2 linked regions of the Oryctolagus cuniculus genome follow. The protein of the gene in region 1 interacts with the protein of each later gene in a pairwise test. Links are inferred from orthologs where the notes say so. Each region holds a gene or a part of one and is shown on either strand. Other genes may lie near its edges. The genes, in order: MCMBP and PRTFDC1.

Region 1 (3,812 bases):
GCTGGGCCAATTGAAAGTCAGGAGGCAGCAGTTTTTTCCAGGTCTCCCACGTGGGTGCAGGGGCCCACACATTTGGGCCATCTTCTACTGCTTTCCCAGGCCATCAGCAGGGAGCCTGATTGGAAGTGGGCAGTCAGGACTCGAACAAGTGTCCATATGGGATGCCGGCGCCACAGGCAGAGGCTTAACCTACTATACCACAGCACCAGCTCCAAAATCAATTTGTTAAAATCTAAAAGTTAGGGGCTGGTGTTTGGTCTAGTAATTAAGATGCCATTGGGATGCCTGTATCCCAAATCCGAGCACCTGACTTTAAGTGCTGGCTCTGCGCTGGAGTCCAGCTTCCTGCTAACAGACCCTGAGAAGCAGTGGTGACTGCTCAGACAGGCAGGTCCCTGCCACGGATGTGGGAGACAACCCAGACTGAGTTCCTGTTTCCCACCTTCAGCCTGGCCCAGTCCCAGCAGCTGCAGGACTCTGGGGAGGGAATTAGAGGATGGAGCTCTCTTTCTTTCTCTGCCTCCCAGTAAATAAAAAAAAAAAATTTGCAAGGTAAATATTTGGGTTGAATCAAAGATAGTCAGATGGACCTGCTGTGTGCTTAGGTTTATAATACATATTTATATTGACTGGTCTTACCGCTGGAACAAGATGTTGAATAATTCGATATAAGTGTTCTGTGAAGGTGCTGTTCCGTGGGCAACCACTCAGGTTAACTGTAAATTTTCCTAGAGGAAGAACATCTCTTCTTGTATATCTAGAAAAAATAAAAAATAGACCAATCTGAAGCGGTTTCCTTCAAAAAACAGATAAAAATTAGCTTGTGAATAAAAACAAAGCAGACTCCTCTGACCAGCTACTGTAGAGACCAGAATAACAACCATAAAGGTAACAGGCAGCACTCACACAAGTGCTGGGCCCGGACCCGGGCTGGGCCAGTGCGTCAGTGGGCTTTCATTTAACCCCAACATTTGGCGTTGGGTGCTCCTGGCTTTACAATTGAAAGTGTGAGGCACAGAGATTCTGAAGTACAGAATATCCCTTTATCCAAAACACTTGGAACCAACAGTGCCTGTCCATTTTTTTCAGACTTTGGAATACTTGCGTAGATGGCCAGATGAACAGCCCTCACCTGGACAGCCCAAACCCAACAGCGAGCAGCACGTGTGCGGGCTCACTGAGGGCTCAGCAGTAAGGATTCTTAGATGAGGGATGCGCGATCTGCTGGGAAGTGAAGCAGCGAGGACTGCAGGCAGGCGGTCTGGAACCAGAGGCTGTGACCCCGCCCACTACCCACAGCTGGTCTCAGATGCCCTCCAGGAAAAGTAAGATTTATAGCACACATAGGGTACAGCAGTGTCACTGACACCATTTAGAGAAAGGGTTACACTGTGGTACAGCTGCACACTAAACTCCTGTGCTGTCATGAAGTTCAGAGAAAATTACAATGGGAAACCGTTCAATGTATGTTAAATGCTGAAAGCAAGATGTGCACCCGTGTAACTGAGGTCTACGGAGGGGCGCACAGTACACGGGTGGAAACAGAGCAAGATGAACACAGGTCCAGCACGCTAACTCTGATCACCTGCAAGTGAACGAACTGTATCGGTAGGTGACTCCAGCAAGGGGGCTACAGAAAGGTCACGGAAAAATGGCAAGCTAGTGCAAAAGTATTTAGAAATTGAGACAGTTTTCCCATTTATGCATTTTTTCCCATGGACTTCTGAAGACCCACATTTTTTCTTCTTTATGTTCCTGGAGGGGCATATTACTTTCAAAATCAGAAAACAAAGGAATATACTGGAGGCAAACGTGAGATGCACAAATGCCATTGTCCAAGTTAAATGGGCATATGAGGTACCCCACCAACTGTTTTTAGACAGTCTTGAAATGTATAAACAGAACTTCCAGTGTAAAAAAGACAAGACAGCTTATTTTGGGGCCAGCATTGTGTCACAGCAGGGTTAAACAGCTGCCTGCAACACCAGCATCCCATATGGGCGTCGGTTCATGCCCTGGCTGCTCCACTTCCAAGCCAGCTCCCTGCTAAGGTGCCTGAGAAAGAGCGGACGATGACCCAAGTACTTGGGCCCATGCCACCAACATGGGAGACCTGCATGGTTCAGGCCTGGCCTTTGCAGCCATCTGGACAGTGAACCAGTGGATGGAAGATCTCTCTCTCTGTCTTTCCCTCTAATTCTGCCTTTCAAAGAAATAAATCTTAAATTTTTTTTTCAATAAAAAAATAGCTTATTTTACTCTTCAGACAGGTCCTTTATTTGTTACTGGCTCTAAAATTCAAGGGAACATAATCAAAATATGGAACTGTGAGAAAAGGCGTTTGTTACCTGGTATGGCACTCGTCACAATGAACAAATAAAAACTATAAGGTAATAGGCCTAAGACACGAAAGTCAGAAATGTCCTGCTCTTTTCCACTTTCTGCACCCCACCAAACTCCAAGGACCCCAGGAACAGGCACTTACACTGTAGAGATGAGGTGCAATATAAGGTATTCCGCAGCCAGACTATCTCCCAAGAGGGCGTGAGTGAGGAATCCAAGCAGTTCTGCTCTGACTGGAGACAGTTCAGACATGAAACTTGAGACAACTGGAGGAGGAAGAGAGATCAGACTCAGAATACATGCTCCAGTCCGCTGCGGTTCCTTGCAATGAGGAGGGAAGCAGCAGCATGAAACACACTCCCAGTGTAGACTTAACTACTGCTCGGGAAGTAATGACAGTCTTCAAACTTAGGTTCTTTCAGGGCTGGAGCTGTGGCGCAGGGGTTAAGCTACCTTCTGCAGTGACAGAAACTTATATGGGCACCAGCCAAGTCCCGGCTGCTCTGCTTCCGATCCAGCTCCCTGCTGATGGCCTGGGTCCTTGGGACCCTGCGACCCAATTGGGAGACCCAGAAGAAGCTCAGGGCCTCTGGCTTCAGCCTGGCACAGACTCGGCCACTGCAGTCATTTGGGGATTGAACCAGCAGTGGAAGATCTCTTTTTCTTTCTCTCTCTCCTCTCCTCTCTCTGTAACACTTTCAAGTAAGTAAATCTTAAAAAAATAAAAACAACTTAAGCTCTTGCTTCCCATGTCCCATTACAAAGAAGAGAATCAATCTAAGAGGAAAACTGGGCAAAGCAGCAACCATTCCTGGTAGGGCAAACTTCCTGATGAAGGTAGGGGGAGCTGCTCCGAATTCCACAGGAGCACTGGGCTCGGGCACCCGGGGCGCCTGGGGGCTCCAGGCTTCTGCACTTACAGGCTTTGCTCTCTTCTTTATTAAGGCAGGTCGGCAGCAAAGGGTTGATGTGCTGCAACTTCTGGGCTAAAACCACGTGGATCCTGGGCACCAGCGAGGCAGGCGGGCTGTGCACGCGCTGCTCTTCGGCCGCGTCTGTGCACTCCATCGGGTCCAGCTGTGCAGAGGCATCCCTGTGGAGAGATGACTCGGCTCGGTACCCAGGGGCCGCCTCGGTGGAGGCACCAAAATGAAATGCATCTCCGAAGACAAAAGGAGCATTCGCACCAGGAGCACTTTTACATGTGCGTCACCTTAAAGGAAAGAAATGGGCTCCTCTTTTTCAAAATGTTACAGCATACAGGCTTTAGAGCAGTTAAGTCATATGATGTAATGGACTTCTTCATTCTTCAAGAACAACAACATTTTTATTCAGTGTGCTAACACTGCACTAAATGAAATGTGGGATGTCACTCACACAACAATTCAAAACAAACGTACTCTTTCTTGAACTACAAGCTGAGATGGCAAATACTACGTGGCACACTTCTAAACCTGGGGTCATTTTCT
Region 2 (3,812 bases), on another chromosome or scaffold:
CCTTCCGTTGCTCTCTGTGTTCCGTGACCACCCGGCTTCCTTTTCTGCCCTCCTGCTGCCTGTTCTAAGCCTAACCTCACGCCTGGAGTGCCGGGGCAGCGGCTGCCCCCGGTCCGTGCTACAAACAGGTCCGTTTTCTAGGCTAGGCCAGCGCTTCCCCAGTAGCCCTGGCTCAAGTGCCCACATGAACACGCCTTTCAATACCTTCGCTTTAATTACTGGGCCATTCCAGTCTCATTAAGTTATTTTTTTTAAATCAAGTTATTTATTTGAATGGCAGAGAGACAGAGCTCCCATGTGCTGGTTCACTCCCCAGTGCCTACTACAGCTGGGCCTGGGCCAGGCTGAAGCCGGCATCTAGGCGCTCAATCCAGGTCTCCCACAAGCATGGCCGGGGCCCAGCTACTCGAGTCCTCGGCTGCAGCCTCCAAGTGTGCGTTAGCAGAAAGCTGGAATGGAATGCTGGCATCGCAGGTGGCTGCTTAACCCACTGCCACAGTGCTGGCCCTGATAATGCACTTTTGTTTAAAAAAATATTTATTTAATTGAAAGGCAGAGAGAGAGAAAAAAGTCTTCATCCACTGGTTCACTCCCCAGATGGCCGCAACAGCCAGACCTGCGCCGATCCTAAGCCAGGAACCAAGAGCTTCTTCTGGGTCTTCCCACACTGATGCAGGGGCCCAAGGACTTGGGCCATCGTCTACTGCTTTCCCAGGCCACAGCAGAGAGCTGGATCAGAAGTGGAGCATCTGGGACTCGAACCGGTGCCCATATAGGGTGCTGGCACTGCAGATAGGAGCTCTACCCACTATACCACAGCGCTGCCCCAATGATGCACTTTTAATTGATAATCTTTTTCAGGCAGATGAGTTACTTAGAGCCAGCAGAAATGTAATAGCCTATATAAAAATGCATATATTAATGTAACATGATGATCTGCTACATAGTATATAGTTACTCTTTATGGTGGTATATTTGTGACAATTTTATATATAAATCCCATGTTTACTTATATAAATAGTCCTGGCAGGTTTGCCATGAGACTCTGAGTTTATATTCTTAACTACACTGTCAAGACTCAGGAGTGAAGTGCTGTCTTTCCTTCAATGCCAAGTCCTGTATTAGGTCATTGTAAGTATCTGTTGTCATAAACAAATATCAGGCTGTAGCAGACAAGCAGCCTGGCCCCAGGGAGCCCTTCCTTGGGGGAGAGAGAGGGTCTAATTCCCTGTGTTCAGTTGTCTGTGTTCCAAATGATATCCTTTCCGTTGTTTGATTCGAGATGAATTCCCAGTGCAGAACACCCTCACTGAAATGATTCGCTTCTTGCAGATTAAGGACGATTGGCCTGGCTACGACTTGAACTTGTTCACGTACCCGCAGCACTATTCCGGCGACCTGGAGTATGTGCTCATACCGCATGGCATCATCGTGGACAGGTGAGTGAGTGAGCTGGGCTGGCCCGCCCACGTGCGTGAATCGTGTGAGACGCCCGAGTCCCTTTTCACGGTGGCAGAGAGAAGTGGTGTCGGACAGCAAATTGGGGACGGACTGAGTCTGGGCGTGTGCCGAGTGGTTTACCTGCGTGTGTGTTCAGGCGGGATGTTCAAAGGCTATGTGTGTGTGTGTGTCGCTGTTCTGTCACAGTCTGGAGACTACAGGGTCCCCTACAGATGATCATGCCAGGAAAGCGTGGGTTTGTGTCCCAGTTAACCAGGGAGGAACAGGAGGAAATCTTCACTTCCTAGGGTACCCCCTGAACCCCTGGATTTTTCTGCAATGCTGATCTCTCTTGCGCCAAACCATGCATCCCAGGTGGGCTGGTGTGCGGAGAGCGGCGTTTTCTAACCACTGGTGGGAATAGTAGTATTTGCAGCTTAAAATATATACTGAGAACGAGTTCTAGAACAGAATCTTTTTTTTTTCCTGATGTGTCTACATCCCTACCCTCTGGCTTCTTCCTTGCTGATGGCCTGTCCTGAAACCAACATTTTCTCTCCTGTGCTGTGTCACCCCCACTTAGCTCCTCCTGTTCAGTCCTACCACACCAATGATTAATAGGTCAGATCCTTAACAAGCCTGCATCAGCACCAAGAACTTGAGTTGCTTTCTGTGGGCCTCAGATTTCTGGTGCGAAGGTCAAGTACAGAGTCCTGCAGGTTTCTTTATTTCTGAAAGATTTATATAGAGAGGGAGAGATGGAGAAAGAGGTGTTCTGTCCACTGGTTCACTCACCAAATGGCCATAAGAGCCTGAGCTGAGCCAGGCCAAAGCCAGGAGCCCAGAGCTTCATCTGGGTCTCCCACATGGGTGCAGGGGCCCAAGCACTTGGGCCATCTTCTACTGCTTTCCCAGGAGCATTAGCAGGGAGCTGAATTGAAAGTGGAGCAGACGGGACTCGAACCAGCGCCTGTGCTAGCACTGCAGGTGGCAGCTTAACCTGGGAGGCCACGTGCTGGCCGTGACCTGCACATGTCAGTGGTGAACAAGCATCCTGCTTTTCAGGGGAAACTCTCTGGAACCCTGCGGATTCTTCGGGGGACCAGAATTTGGGGTGAAGTCAGCAATAGGGAGAAGTTTGACTTCTCACTGCAACCCTTTGCTTACACCATAGTATCTCTGCTTTTATATATTTTTGATCTGTTAAAAAAATAAAAAAGCTTTCTGAATTCAGCTCTAACTTTAATAAATAGCTCCTCAAAGCCAAAGAAAAGTTAAAAAGCATTCAACGGTCATGGTTCCTAGGATAGGAGGGAGCTTCAGAAAGTTCATGGAAGAGTGGAAGTTGAAAGATTAAATTTATTTTGGTGCAAAAGAATTTTGAATTTCTTGCATAGTTTTTTGTTTACTTGTTGTACTCGAGAGGCAGAAAGACAAAAGGAGAGACAGAGAGGTCTTCCATTCACTGGTTCACTCCCCAAATGGCTGCAGCAGCCAGGGCTGGGCCAGACCGAAGCCAGAGGCCTGGGACTCCATCTGTGTGTGGCAGGGGCCCAAGTGCTTGAGCTCCAGCTGTGCTTCCCGGGGTGCACTTGGCAGGAAGCTGGAATCGGGAGTAGAGCCTGGACTTGAACTCGGGCACTGTGATACATGGGATATGGACATCACGAGTGGGGTCCTAACCACTACACCCAGCGGCCGCCCTGCATAGTTTGTCCGTGTACTTGTGTGTGTGTGTGTGTGTGTGTGTGTGTTTGACAGGCAGAGTGGACAGTGAGAGAGACAGAGAGAAAGGTCTTCCTTCGTCGTTGGTTCACCCTCCAATGGCCGCCGCGCTGATCTGATGGCAGGAGCCAGGTACTTCTCCTGGTCTCCCATGGGGTGCAGGGCCCAAGCACTTGGGCCATCCTCCACTGCACTCCCTGGCCACAGCAGAGAGCTGGCCTGGAAGAGGGGCAACCGGGACAGAATCCGGCACCCCGACCGGGACTAGAACCTGGTGTGCCGGTGCCGCAAGGCGGAGGATTAGCCTAGTGAGCCGCGGCGCTGGCCCGTGTACTTGTGTTAATACCATCCTATCAGTCTGTCGGGAAGCCAAGAGGAATTTCATTCCCCCAAATTCTGAGATTTGCCATTGGATGGAACTTCCACAGGCGTGATGTTTCCTCTCCTGACTTACAGTATAATACACGATAAGCTGTGGTTTGGGGTTTTTCTTGGCCTAGGGTGGTTTCCCATAGATTGCTAAAGCAGGTCTGATCCTCAGAGGGAGAAAAGGTCCCTGACCAAATAAACCTGAGAAACTGTACATTTCCCAAGCTGCCAACTCTCCCCATTGTCAAAACACATGTGAGTGTATCAGAGATACAGAA

Evidence for each region.
Region 2: the proteins of MCMBP (region 1) and PRTFDC1 interact in binary tests that used the Homo sapiens proteins (3 or more experiments, as listed by UniProt). The two-hybrid records come from large-scale screens. The link is inferred for Oryctolagus cuniculus from reciprocal best matches to the Homo sapiens genes MCMBP and PRTFDC1.

What each region holds. Positions count from the first base shown.
Region 1 is NC_091446.1:10,866,601-10,870,412, reverse strand, and holds part of MCMBP (mini-chromosome maintenance complex-binding protein), read right to left. Parts: intron 3,437-3,812; coding exon 3,264-3,436; intron 2,610-3,263; coding exon 2,486-2,609; intron 758-2,485; coding exon 640-757; intron 1-639. UniProt on the Homo sapiens protein: Associated component of the MCM complex that acts as a regulator of DNA replication.
Region 2 is NC_091444.1:104,725,800-104,729,611, forward strand, and holds part of PRTFDC1 (phosphoribosyltransferase domain-containing protein 1), read left to right. Parts: intron 1-1,332; coding exon 1,333-1,439; intron 1,440-3,812. UniProt on the Homo sapiens protein: Has low, barely detectable phosphoribosyltransferase activity (in vitro). Binds GMP, IMP and alpha-D-5-phosphoribosyl 1-pyrophosphate (PRPP). Is not expected to contribute to purine metabolism or GMP salvage.